Linked DNA regions of Tamandua tetradactyla. The protein of the gene in region 1 purifies or fractionates together with the protein of each later gene. This does not show direct contact. Links are inferred from orthologs where the notes say so. Each region holds a gene or a part of one and is shown on either strand. Other genes may lie near its edges.

Evidence for each region. The genes of interacting proteins can lie anywhere in the genome.
Region 2: the proteins of SGK2 (region 1) and HSP90AB1 purify together in Homo sapiens (affinity purification with mass spectrometry; 3 studies listed by BioGRID and IntAct, with this or other methods). This does not show direct contact. The link is inferred for Tamandua tetradactyla from reciprocal best matches to the Homo sapiens genes SGK2 and HSP90AB1.

The regions. Positions count from the first base shown.
Region 1 is NC_135327.1:8,599,989-8,607,155, reverse strand, and holds the start of SGK2 (serine/threonine-protein kinase Sgk2), read left to right. Parts: upstream 1-4,090; 5' UTR 4,091-4,201; intron 4,202-7,167. UniProt on the Homo sapiens protein: Serine/threonine-protein kinase which is involved in the regulation of a wide variety of ion channels, membrane transporters, cell growth, survival and proliferation.
Region 2 is NC_135331.1:101,858,306-101,865,241, forward strand, and holds the start of HSP90AB1 (heat shock protein HSP 90-beta), read left to right. Parts: upstream 1-3,907; 5' UTR 3,908-4,039; intron 4,040-4,721; exon of another isoform or gene 4,722-4,827; intron 4,828-5,539; coding exon 5,540-5,686; intron 5,687-6,038; coding exon 6,039-6,245; intron 6,246-6,531; coding exon 6,532-6,691; intron 6,692-6,808; coding exon 6,809-6,936. UniProt on the Homo sapiens protein: Molecular chaperone that promotes the maturation, structural maintenance and proper regulation of specific target proteins involved for instance in cell cycle control and signal transduction. Undergoes a functional cycle linked to its ATPase activity.

The DNA of each region.
Region 1 (7,167 bases):
CAGAGAAGACTGTGAAAACCAGCTTGATCCTTGACATCTTAATAAATGGTCAAGGCCGGAATATTCAATGAAGTTTCCCGTTTTTAAAATAATCCCAAATTTTCTGGCAGGGAAATGGCCAAGTTGAATGGATAGAACTTCTGAAGGTTCCTAGAGTTTGTAAGGAGATGGAAAAGTGACAGAAATGCCACATTTGACCACTTCAGCCACTTTTTTTGGTCAATACCCTTAATTGCTTTGTCCTGCTGCCTTTCTAGACTACTTGGCTAGAAGATTACCCCCCGTGGGGCTGTCCACAAGCCCATCTTCTCCACACCTTGACCTGCTGCTTAGGCTGAGCAGATTGGGGCTGTGTAGATGAATAGTCTCTAGCTTCAATGTGAACCCTCACGGTTGCCCAGAAAGTAGCTATTTTTTGGGTCAGCACTGACTCTTCTGTTCAGGCTCCTCAAACCTCCTACCCACATGCCTCCCCCATCATTTCTATAGATGCCCTCCCACCTATGCCACAAAGAAAATGGAACTCATCAGAAGGGTGGCTTCCTAACACATCTGCAAAGTCCATTCCCACCCACATCCACCCTTCCCTCTTTCCTTCTGTTTACAGTGGGAGAGTTTACCCTTCTACTTGACAGAAGCTAACCTCTACCAGCCATGTCAGATATATGAAAAAGGAGCACTGAGAGACAAGAAAGGGCTCTTGGGAATTTAAAATATGGTTGCAGAATAAAATCAACACAGGGATTGAAAGATAAAGTTAAGGATATCCCATAGAAGTAGGATAAAAAAGATAAAAAATGGGAAAGAATGGTTATGAAAACCTCAAGGACGAGTTTGGAGGTCCAGTATACAACTAGCAGGAATTCTTAATAAGAAAGAAAATCAAGGTCAAAATTAACTTTTTTGAAAAAAAGAAATTTCACAAAATTGAGGGACACTGTTCTCCAAACTGAAAGGTCATGGAAAGTGCCCAGCACGATGGATGTGAAAGGAATCACACCCAGTTATATTACTGTGAAATGTCAGAAAAATCAGAAAATGAAAATCCTGAAAGCTTCCAGACAGAAGAAATCAGGTCTCATCCAAAAGAACATGAATCAGAATAGCACTGGACTTCCCAGTAGCAGCACTGTGATAAAAAGACGATGGAACACTGCCTTAATAATTCTGAAGGAAAAGATATTTCCACCCGAGAATTCTGTACCCAGCCAAATTATCAAGTGTGAAGGTAGAATATTTAAAAACATAAAAGGTCTCAAAAATTTATCTCCCAAAAAAAAAAAAAAGTTATCTCCCGTGCACCTTTCCTCAGGCAGCTATTGGAGGATCCGCTCCACCAAAATAAGAGAGCAAATTTAAAAAAAAGAGGAAGACATAGGATCCCGGAACCTGGAGATGCAACAAAGACAGAGAAAGGGAATTTCTAGTGTGATGGGGCAAAGAAGGGCCAGGCTAATACCTGGCCAGGGCAGATGAAAATAGGATGGAAGACTCCAGGAAGGACAAAAACAGAATGGACACATAATACAGTAAGAGGCTATTTTTAGCTCTACCAGAGCATTTATGTAGATATCAAACCATTAAATGAGGCAGTTATTAATTAAAAGCAAAAGTTTAAACAAGTGTGTGTGTGGATGGGCTAGACGTAAATGCCCATGTTCTATAGTAGGAAGCCACTTTCAGTTTTAAAATGGAAAGATCAAAAAAAAAATAATAAAAAAAAGTTTATAAAAGAAAAAAAAAAAAGGAAAGATCAAGGAATGTAGTGGAATCATGCTGTTTAGACATTTGGAAATGTTACCAAAGGAAACAGCTAGAAGAGTTGAAGAATGGAGCAAGGAACTGATCCTTTTCACTCTCTACCTGGTAATCCTATTTCATTTTTAAAATTTTGTAACTTGGCACTTTCTAAAAACAATCTACCTTTTTTTTTTCAAAAAGAAAATTGGAGACCTGTGTCTGGACCCAAGCCTGTGCTACTCCAGCCCATGTGAGTAACAGATTTTTCTCTACTGACCCTGTACCTGGTGCTCCCTCTGCTATGGATGAATCTGCAGGTATGGAAGGCATGGGCAGGTGGGAGTAGGGATGAGAGCCAGATAATGGATGGAAAAGGAGGCCGAGGAATGTCAAGGTGGAAGGAATATTCATGGAGGTGGGTTCCTATTGGTTCAGTCTCTTGCTATCCCCTTCCCATCCCTGAGAACATTTCTTCAACCTTCATAACCAAACAACAGAACCCAGCCAGTTGAGAGAGGAGGAGGCAGGGAGAAGGGTAAAGAAAGAAAGAAGAGAGGAAGTTGGGCAGGGGTGGCATTTCTGCAGTGGTTTCATTGCAAGAGTCGCATAGCCATTTCCTGAGCATCGTTGAGGGGAAGGCCAAACCCTGGTGGTAGCCATGTCAATGGTACACATTTTTAGAGAGTGACAAAATTAACTCAGCACTCCCACTTACAGGAGTTTATCAGAACTATTAGCGCAAGGACCCACAGGTATTAATGTGAAGATGTTCTCTGCAGCACTGGTTGAAGTATTGTGGAACTGGAAACAGCCTCAGTGTCCGTCAGCTGAGGAACAGCAGAAGCAATCACAGTAAGTCCAACACTATGGAATATGATGCAGCAGCTGAAAAAAAATTTGAATCTGTGTGTTGACATGGAAAGATGTGTTAAAATGAGAAAAAGTGAGTTACTGAACAATATGTATAGTGTGGCTCATTTTCCTAGAAAAGAAAGTATGTGAATTAGGTATAGACAAAAGTCTACAAGAATAGTCACCACTTAGTTAACAGCAGTTACTTCTGGAAAAGAGATTGAAGGTGGATTGGGGAGAAATTTCACCTTTTATTTCACAATCTTCTGTATGTTGGAATTATTTGATACCGATTATAAGATACCATTGTGTGTATGTTGTGTGTATTTAAACCAGTTTTGGGAATGCAGAGGCAGAGGAGCTTGGTGCAGCTAGCAGCTCTGAAAAGGATCCGAACCCAGGGCTGTACCCTCATTTGCCCTGTGCACTTGGGCCAGCCACCTCCCCTCTCAGCCTGGGGCTAGACGCATTTTGCTAGGGTTGGTGGAGGTAGGAGGTGTGGCAATGCATCTCTCCCAAGAGCACATTAAATCAGCCAGTTTTTTAAGGCACTAGAATGATCAGAAAGTTGTTGAAATGTTAATGGAAAGGCAGCAGAGAAAGTAGTGTGAAAGTCAACTTCTGAGTTGCCCACTAAAAGGGGATCATTGAGCAATGTCTTTCTCATCTATCTTTCAGACCAGACCCTGCATCTACCCTAAGTTAGAACCCTTGGTCTGGGCAGATTTGGGTCAACCATGAAAAAGCCTGCCTTCCGTATGAGCTGGAAAGAGCTGAGCCCTGGTTCCTGAGTGTCAGGTCTCCGAATGACACAATGGGAAGTGGATCTAGACTCAGCAATGAGTCTTTACCTAGGGGAGTGCAAAGCAGGAGAGCTCTGGATGGCAGGCTTTGACTCAAAACAAAACAAAAAAAAAGCAGAGACCTACCAGAGATGTCAGGCAATGGGGCAGGCTCAAGAGAGAATGAGCTGCCCATCTCTGAAGGGACAACAAAAGAGAACGTGTCCAAGAACAGGCCCCCATCAGGGAGAGACCAGGGAAGAGAGCTGGGTGAGATGAACCCTCTCAGGTCTCTTGGTTTTATGAAAAAGGGAAAATGATTTAATTCCTGCAGTTAAGGTAGTCAGCCTTTGAGCTTGGGGAAGGATTTCAGAGAATGGAAACACATGACAGCATTGAAAGGGACCTCAGAGATCCTCCTTTTAAGGCAGGAGACACACCATCATCACCAATTCACTTGAGGCTCAGGGACCCAAGTCACTTGCCCAAGGTCACAAAACTTATGTTGTGCAGTAGCTTTAAAATATCCGAAGGGTCCCCAGGGCAGGGCCCTTCTAGGAGCCATTGGGCGCAGCCAGCGTTGTAATTTCAAGTCCAGCCGTTAATTAGTAACTGGAAGGCTCCGAAGCCAGCTCCCAGCCAGCAGGACTGGAAGAGAGAGGTGGAAGCCAGGTTGGGAAGTGAGTGACAGGTCATTCTTAAGTGCGAAGGTTGCTGGAGAAGTCAGGATTGGGTTTCAGGTCAGAAGGACCATGCAGAGACAGAGGAGGGCAGAGCCATGCTTGGGGCTTCTCCACAGGACCTGAGCTGGGACCCAGAGTTTTCAGGTAAGAGGCTCAGCTGTGAACAGGACACCTGCCAGCTGGCATGTCAGTCTGCCAAACTGACTACTTGGTCAGCTAACTTCTTCCTGACTCTCTCCCTTCTAACTCCTTTCTGTTCTCTCCATGCCTTTTCTCCCAACTAATTAACTTTCTGCCTTTCCAGTTACTTAATTTGCTTCCTTCCGAACTAACCAACTTAACAGCTTCTCTTCCTTCCCACTAATTTCATTCCATCCTAACTTCTTCCTGAAATTCTAGGCCACAGGCTTTGGAGTAAGACTGCCTGGGTTCGAATTCCTGTTATATCATTTATTAGCTATTTGTCTTGATCAAGTCACTTCACCTCTCCAAGCCTCAGTTTACTCCTCTTAAAAAGAGGGTTAATGACAGTGCCTATCCCATGGGGTATAGGATTAAAATAAGATCTTGCTGGCACTTGACTTGGCAGGCAGTGGTAGGCACTGGGTGCCAGCATGTATGTAAATGAATTATCATAGCATGATGGCAAGTACAAAAGAAGCGAGTTCAAAGATGGGAGCAAGGGTACATGGGATCTGGAGCTGCTCTGGCAAGGGTTCCAGGAAAGCAAATGAGGACAGATGGAAAGGGCTAGCCAAGTAGACCAAACTGATTGGGGAAGTGTTCTAAGGAGAGCACTGTGTGACATCCCAGCCAGCAAGTCCAGTTTGATGTAAGCAGGTCTTTGTAGTGAAGGGGAGAGGGATGCAAATCTAGGCTGAGGCAAGTTAGGGGGAGGAGCAGCCTTGAGGGCTCTTGGAGGGGCTTGAAATTTCCCCTGGGAGGTCACAGGGTCCTCTACAGGTTGGAAGAGTCAGGGGAAGGTGTTGATGCCCCACTCCTGTCCAGGAAATCACAAGACAGTGGTGCAGGAGAGATAAGCCTTAGGCACTGAGAGATGGCTCAGGTATGGGGGTCATAGTCAAGGTGATGAGGTAGAGTTGGTGGTGAGCATTGGCTACGTCAAAGTTCCCATCCAGTCTTAGTATATTTCCTGAATAGCAACATCTTGAGACATTTCATACCATAGTAGAAAGATAAAAATGAAAATAAGCTAACCTAAGATACGTGCTGTCACCTCAGGTCATGATCCCCCTGCCATTTTTTCTGTGCTTATACACAAATGTACAGTTGCATGCATGTCTTTTTTTCTTTTACAAGATGGTACCCTGGCATACTTACCATTTTGAAAGCTGCTTGTTTACTTCACAGTGTATCATATATGTGTTCCCGTTTCTACTAATATAGGCTCACGCATCACTTTTGGTTGGGTAATATTTTATTGTATAAATGTACCATAATTATCAATTCATCCTTTGATTCATTAATCAAATATGTACTGAGCACCTACTATATTCCAGGCCCTGTTCTATAATGGTGAAGAAAGACCCTGCCCTCATGAAGCTGACATTCTAGTTGAGGGAGATAGAAAATGAGCACATAATTTTCACCTGCATGATAAGGTGTCAGAGAGTGATAGGTGGTGCAGTGATTCCCACATCCTGGGGAAAAAACCCTCAGTCACAGAGAAACCAGGATGGTTGGTTCCCTGTAATCAGAAAAGACCCCTCTGAAGAGATGACATTTGAGCAGAGACCTCACTGGTGTGTCAGTGGAAGCCAGCCACGCAGATGTCTGGGGAAAAAGCATTCTAGGTAGAGGGGGAGATAAGTGCAAGGGGCTGGAGTCTAGAGGGCAGCAAGTGTATTTGAGGGATAGCAAGAAAGCCAGGGTGGCTGGTGTGCAGTAAGGGTGAGAGCAGTGGAGGACAAGGCAGACACAGAGAGAGGTCACATGGAAATCTCCTACACTGCGGAAAAGACTGGATTTAATTCTAGGTGTGATGAGAAGTCCCTGGAGTGTTTTGAGCAGCAAAGTCATATGATCTGAGTTACATTTTAAAAGACTCCCTTTGGCTTAATTGCAGAGAGATTATAAGGGATAAAGGTAGAAGCAGGGAGGCAGTGATATGTTAGTTTCCTGTGGCTGCTGTAACAAATTACCACAAACTCGGTGCCTTAAAACAGAAATTTATTCTCTCACAATTCTGGAGACCAGAAGCCTGAAATCATTTTTGCTGGGCAGAAATCAGGGTGTCGGCAGGGGCTGCACTCCCTCCAGAGTCCAATCTGTAGGGCACTTCAGCACATCTTCACGTCCTGCTGCATCACTCCCATCTCTGCCTCCAAGGCCACCTTGACTTCTCCTTTTCTGTCTGTCAGCTCTCCCTCTGCCTGTCTCTATAAGGCCACTGTGATTGCATTTCAGGTCCGCCCTATTAATCCAAGATAATATCCCCTTCTCAATCATAATCATAATCAGATCTGCAAAGTCCTTTTTTTTTTTTTTACCAAATACAGTAACAAGCACAGGTTTCTGGTATTAAAGTGTGGATCTCTTTTTTTATTTGGGGGGGGCATTATCCTATTTACCACATATAGGGATATTATTGCAATAATGTATGCAAGTGATGATGTTAGCTCATATGCAAGTGATGGTGTTAGCTCAGGCAGGCAGGCTGTAGTAGGTTTAATGAACAGCCGTGGTTTCTGGATATATTCTGAAGGTAAAGTTTAATGGGATATCATAATGGCATGGAAGTGGGATAATAGGAGAAGCAAGATCTCTAGGATGGGTCCCGAGTTGCTGGTTTGAACCTTTGAGTGGGTGGTGGTGCCACTTCCCAAGACTGGGAGGACTGAGGGAGGAACAAGCTGGGGCCAACTGGGGGAAATTGAGCCAGGTGTTTGGATATGTAGACATCTAAGTAGTGAATTGTCAAGGAGTAGCATTTGGGTATGTGAGTACAGAGTTCAGGAGAGGATCAGAACTAGAGAGGGAAACTTGGAAATTGTCAATTATAGGTGTATTTAAAGCCACTAAATAGGTTGACATCACCTAAGGAGCAAGTGTACATAGAGACAAGGTTAAAGGCTTGAGCCCTGGGACAG
Region 2 (6,936 bases), on another chromosome or scaffold:
GGGCTAGAGAGGCCCCAGGCAGCTTGGACAGTGACAGGATATAGTGGGTGGGTGCCAAGCTTGAGAAGTCACTGGCTCTGGGGATTAAGGGGCGAGAGCTGCCATCTTGATGCCCTGGGTAGTTTCATCCACCCATTTTACCTTATCTCAGGATGCTCCCCTGCAGCTGCGTGACAATTTCCAGTTGAGCAGCAGCAGTAGGCCTCAGCCCAGGCTGAGTCTCCATGCCTCCTGCCAGACTTCACTTGGATTTATCTAGAACAAACTTTTACCTAGTTCTGCAATGTTGTTCCCTACAGGGTGACATAAGCACTCCTTTAGGCTTTGGAGGCCTACAGTCTCTATCAGGACTACTGAGCTTCACTGTTAAAGCATCAAAGCAGTCATAGACAATACGTAAACAAATGAGTGTGGTTGTATGTCAATAAAAGTATTTATGGACTCTGAAATCTGAATTTTCACGGCAAACATATTATTTTGCTGTAGGGTGTGGTAGTTAGGTTCAGATGTCAACTTGGCCAGGTGAACGTGCCTAGTTCTGCTGCTGCGGACATGAGCCAATGGTACCCACATCTGTTACTCATTACATCTGCAGTCGGCTAGGAGGCGTGCCTACTGCAGTGAATGATGTTTGATTTACTTGGTTGGTGCTTAAATGAGAGAGCTCAACGTAGCACAGCCCAAGCAGCTCAGCATACCTCATCTCGGCACTCGCAGCTCAGCTCAGTTCAGGCCTTTGGATATGCAGAAAGAAAGCATCCTGGGGAAAGTTGTTGGAACCCAGAGGCCTGGAGAGAAGGCCAGCAGAGATTACCCTAAGCCTTTCCATGTAAGAAAGAACCTCAGATGAAAGTTAGCTGCCTTTCCTCTGAAGAATTAATGAAATAAACCCCCTTTTATTAAAAGCCAATCCATTTCTGGTGTGTTGCATTCTGTCAGCTAGCAAACTAGAACATAAGGGTACAGGGATAGTTCAGCGGTAGAATTCTTGACTCAGGTTTGATTCCCAGCACATGCACTTCCTAAAACAAACAAGCAAGCAAACAAATAAACAAAAATTCAACAAATGGTGCTGCAATAACAGGATATTCACATGGAAAAAGAATGAAATGTGACCCCGCCATACAGCATACAAATTGAAATACATATACATATATAATTTTGGTTTTTATACAACCATTTTAAAATATAAACACCATTCTTAGCTCATAGGCTGTACAAAAACAAGAAGGCTCACAGCCTGCCAGCCATAGCATGTGGACCCCTGCTGTAGCCGGCCGCCCTCCAACAGCAGAAGACTGATCTAGGCCTCTGAGGCCTGACCAGGAACAGAGGGCATTGGAAGCTGACATCATCCTGGGTCCATTGCACATTGCATAAGGGAATAAGGCTTTCAGAGACCCCAAGTAATTTTAAGGCCCTATAATTCTCTAAATGTCTTTTCTCATCCTTAAACTCATCTCAGCACTCCTTAACCCAGCGTTTGCAGGCCATTGTGACCTGACCCCTGCCTACAGAGCCACTTGTGGCTCCTCCCTCATCACGGTCCCTTTAACAGGACTCTGCCTTTCTATGCTCTATGTCTCCTAGGAGTAGACCTATGCCATGGCATGGCTAGCTATTACTGTTGAACATGTCTCTTTCCCAGACTGAGCTGGGGGACTCTACTGCTCATCCATGCCCCTTCACATATGGCCTGCTGCAGCAACCCCACTGGGCAGGGTGCTCCTTGTCCTCCTATCATTGTTATCTGTGCATTCCCAGGTGAGGCTTACAGTGGTGGCTCAATGACTGTTAAGTAAATGGGGATGACAATTGGAAGCCATCCTGGAATACTCCCTGGAGAAGGTGGAGTTTCTGTGCTGGTGCAAGATTTGAGATATTCCCGTTTGGGGGAAGTCCTGGAGGGGGCTTCCATCCCGACACTGCTGGAAGTAGGAGTGGGTAGGGGGGTGGGTGTCCAGCTCAGGGAATGCCCATCCATGGGGGCAACTCCCGGTTAGTTTTTGACTTGGGTTCCCAGATACAGCATTCTCCACCCCTTTTTGGAGGAGGGAAGAGTTGGTGGAGTAAGGGCTCTGAGCTTCAGTGAAGTCTCTGAAGCCTCTAGTCCCCATACATAGAATGGTGCAGTTACTTTACCTCCTTGAGAGATACTGTGAATGCTGACAACCACGGAGATTTTTAATAAGCAGGGTCCCTCTGCCCAAGGGAGAGATGTGCTGAGGGATGATGCTCTTCATTTTGTATTTTCATCAGGAAAGCAGTGCCCATGCCCCCCCCCCCCCAATAGATCACAGGCTTCTAAGGAAGGGGAGTAGAAGGGCAAGAAGAGATGAAATAACAGTGGCTGCGGCAAGGATTCAAAGGAGGAGGTGGGACAAGATAGAGTTAAGCAGCAGTTTTTCTCATTTTGGAATGCAACAAAGGAACTAGGAACTGGAAGGAAGATGGGACGCCAGGGCTGGGGAGGTAGGAGGATCTTGCAAGTGGTGATGGGGTACACCACCCCCAACATTCCAGGGGTGGACTAAGAAGGCTGGGAAAGGAATTCCGGGCATTTACAGAGAACAGAGCAGGGAAGGGCTGTTCTCACATGGAAGGGCTGTGGGTCCAGCAGGCTCCCCAGAGCTTGCCAGTGGGAAGAGCAGGCAAAGGGGACAACACCAGGCGAGGTATGGCGGTCCGCAGGCTGCTGGGCAGGCGGACAACCTGGGAGCTCCGGGACCGCAGCTGAAGAGCAACAATTTGGTTTAGGCCGCCTGAGTGGGCCAGTGGCCTGCATCTTCTTGCGGCCTCCCAGGAGTCCCCGGAGACCCCACCCTTAAGTCCAGACAACTGCAGAAAGAGGCGAGAAGACTCAAGAAAAAAAAAAGAAAGGAAGAAAGAAACCAGTCTGCAAAACACTCGGACATGCCCGGATAGAGGACGCAGGTTGCTACGCCCCGCGCACGTGGGCGGATGCAGGGGCTGTGGCGGCCGGGAAGGGTCCCTTAGATTGGGAGCGGCTCCGACAGCCTGTGTCGTCTGAGTGCTTGGGGGAGGACAGGTACCAATCACTTCCTTCACGCTCCACCCCACCCACGTGGCAATACAGGGCCCGCTGGGTCCGGGCAATGGAGAAGAGGATCCCGCCTGTAGGGGACCTCCACGCCCCGCCGTGAGGTCCAGCAGAGCAGCCTGCAGAGCGCGACGATCTAGAAAGACACCGCTCCAGCCAGAGCCGGCGGGGTGGAGCCTCGAGGGGAAGGGGTGGGGCCATCGAGAGGAGCCTGGAAACTGCTGGAAGAATCGCAGCACTACTATCGCCGCTCCTTCCGCTGCGCACCGGCAAAGAGTGCCTTGCTTGTGTGAGCCGGCCCCTCCCCCACGGAGCCCCGCCCGCGGCAAGTCGGGTCTTTCCGCTCGTCCGCAGGAGGGCCGGGCAAGGGAAGGCGGTGTGTTCAAAGTTGCATCTCGAGTTCTCGGTCCTCAGAGAAAACCCACTTACCCTGTCGGGATGTGTAAGGCAGATTCTAAGAGAGAGGTCGGGGCTGGGAGTGGCGGTTGAGGTAGTTAGCTGTCTCTGCCTCTGCTGCCCAGCGAATAATTCGCTTTACAAGGAGTATGCCTACCTACAGGTGTGCCCAAAGTTGGTCTGTAGGGGGCGCCCTCCAGATGCACAGTTTAGGCCAATTGAGCATTCCCAATATTTAATCCTGAGGGTGGGTCGGCCCTGGAGCTACAGGAATGGGGCTGTGAACACAAGTAAAAGTGCAACGGATTTGTATTCTGAGACTAAGCACGCGCCCCCTGTCCTATTTTGGCCCATGACGTCAAGGTGGGCGGGCGGCTGCAGGTACGCGGCTGACGGACATCCTCCTTTAAGGCGGAGGGATCCGGGGACAGGCGGCAGTGCTGTGCTTCGCCTTACATAAAGCTGCTGGGGGCGCCCAGCCGCTCTCTTGAGTCACCCCCACGCAGCTTATATCTTGCGTGTGAGTCGGACACCGTCCCTGCCCGCTGTGCTCCCTGGTACTTGCTGCTCGCTCTCTTCAAGGTAAGGTTGGGGTCTCGTACTCCAGGCTTTTCAATCGCAAGCACTTCGAGTTTTCATCGTTTTTGGCATTTTTAAATCTTAGAATTATTTGTGGCAGCCTTGAGGTTTGGCTCCTCGTAATTTCTCTCGGAGTGGCCGAGGTTTCTACAGTTTTCCCTGTCATTTCCCTTGTACTTTGGTGGTGGGGCTTCCCTGGGTGGCGAATAGCCATGGGCTCAGTGGGCCGCGGATTGGGACCAGGGTGGTGGGCACCCAGCCGCACGTGGTGGCCGCGCCGTCCAGGGACGCTGCCATGTTGGTCCCTCCACTTCCGGACGCGACTCCAAGGTGCTGGAGGGGTCGGTAAGAGGTGTGGGTGTGCGTGTTAAGAATGACTCAGCACATCCAGGTGTTGCTACCTGTACTTTAGGACGCACTTGTCCTGAAGGGCTTTGGTCAAAGGGTTCGCGACGGGAAAGAACACTTGCAGATTTTTGAGGTCCGTCGTACTTAGTTTCCTGATTCCAGATCTTTCCTGCGTCTCGCGGCGGAGGCCGGGGGTGGATGTGAATTAAAGAGAGGGATTGGGGCAGACTGGAAGATCCATTGGCTCCCTCTGCTCTTCGAGAGGTGGGATTGTTCTGGAAGCTTCTGGAAGCCGGCGCCCCGCCCCGTTGTCTGGATGCTGGGGCGAAGGGAGGCTGCGCGGCGGCGCCCCCTCCTCGTGTGGCCCGGGCCGGCGCATGTCCGGCAGTGACGAGGGTCGGCCCGGCGAGTTGCGGCCACCATCTTAATTGTGCTTGGCTCAGGTACCTGTGCTTAAAGATCACGGGGCTTTAACCTCGGCTCTTTGTTTCTGATTTGCCTCTCATCAGTCCCCCATGGAGAGTGCTCCATAGTTCCTCAGGGGTTGACTTCCCCGCCTTGTGGGCAGCTGTCCTAGTCCCGGGTGAATCCATATGCTGACGACTCGAGATAATACCTCATGGGAAGCAGTTTCCAATCAACGTCGTTTTAGCTTTAATCTAGTCATACTGTTATTTTTTTTCTGCCACAGAAAGGGTAATAGTGATTTTGGGCGTTTAGGTATCCGTAAAGATTACTTGTGTTTCTTATTAGAGTCTAGAGGGTCTGGGGTGGTACCCTGTTTTGTATTTCTAACAAACCACCAGGTAATGCTGAAGCTGCTAATGTTTGGACCACTTACTGAGGAGCTGGGTTCTTAAAACATGTCTTTAAAGAAATTGTACATCTTGTTAAAGGATGCTTGTTTATTTTTTTTCCTGGATTGGCTACTCATGGTGCTGCTTGGTCTTTATGAAGGGCTTCTCTAGACCCTTGGAAATGGATAGGACTCCGTGCTGAGACGGTTGTATAAGTCAAATTTTGTTTACATAAAATCTTAAACAATTGAAAAGTGAATCTCTAAAGATTGCCTATAATGGGTCCAAGCATGCGCTGTTTTATTTCCAAGGACAACATGAATATGTTCTTTCTAATTCTGGATCATTCTTACTGCAGATGCCGGAGGAAGTGCACCATGGAGAGGAAGAGGTGGAGACTTTTGCCTTCCAGGCAGAAATTGCCCAGCTTATGTCTCTTATCATCAATACCTTCTATTCTAACAAGGAAATTTTCCTTCGGGAGTTGATCTCTAATGCTTCTGATGTGAGTGCTCTGGATTTGGTGTTTTCTTTCCTTTTAGCATCCCAGAAAACGAAGGAAGGCAGTGGTTTAACATTTGGTGGGGGCTACTGTTGAATGGGATACACCAGCAGGTTTTGGAAAAAGGTTTGCCCTGTGGACCGTCTTTAGTTTGAAAGAAAAGGGAGGGCTTAGGGTCTCTAAGGGACTACCTTGGGGGTAGAGTTAGTAAATAATCTGTGGTTTTTAAGCTTCAAGGTAAGTGGCAATCAGAATTGATGGTGTTTTGGGAGTAGAAAACTAAAGGGTTTCCTTTTGGATGAAGAGGAGAGTTTTAAGAACAGAATCTTAAAGTCACTACTCTGATTATTTTTAGGCTTTGGACAAGATTCGTTATGAGAGCCTGACAGACCCCTCCAAGTTGGACAGTGGTAAAGAGTTGAAAATTGACATCATCCCCAACCCCCAGGAACGTACCCTGACTCTCGTGGATACAGGCATTGGCATGACTAAGGCTGATCTCATAAATAATTTGGGAACCATTGCCAAGTCTGGTACCAAAGCATTTATGGAGGCACTGCAGGTATGGGACATTACATCAGGGCGTACACTTTTTTTTTCCTTCATGTGTATGTATTTCTATATTTATACATATGTGTAGAGAGGCAAATATGTATACTATAGGGGGTTTGTTTACAGCATGGTTTTTTGTGCGTGGGCCAGAAATTGAACCCGGGTCTCCTGCATGGCAGGTGAGAACTCTAACACTGAACCTACCCATGCATCCCTCCACCATTACATTTTGAAATGTTTCCTGGCTTCTTTCGTTTTAAACTGGTGTTTGACTTTAAAACATTCTTTTTTGGCAGGCTGGTGCAGACATCTCCATGATTGGGCAATTTGGTGTTGGCTTCTATTCTGCCTACTTGGTGGCAGAGAAAGTGGTTGTGATCACAAAGCACAATGATGATGAACAGTATGCTTGGGAGTCTTCCGCTGGGGGTTCTTTCACTGTTCGTGCTGACCATGGTAAGTTGACTGGGTTAGAATTCTTTGGGGATACCTTCTAGGTAAAGCAGTTTTTTTTTCAGTACATTTCTTCAATTAGTCTCAACTATTTATACCCCACTGTGATTGACTTTCTAGGGGAGCCTATTGGCCGGGGTACCAAAGTGATCTTGCACCTTAAAGAAGACCAGACTGAGTACTTAGAGGAGAGGCGGGTCAAAGAAGTGGTGAAGAAGCACTCACAGTTCATAGGCTACCCCATCACC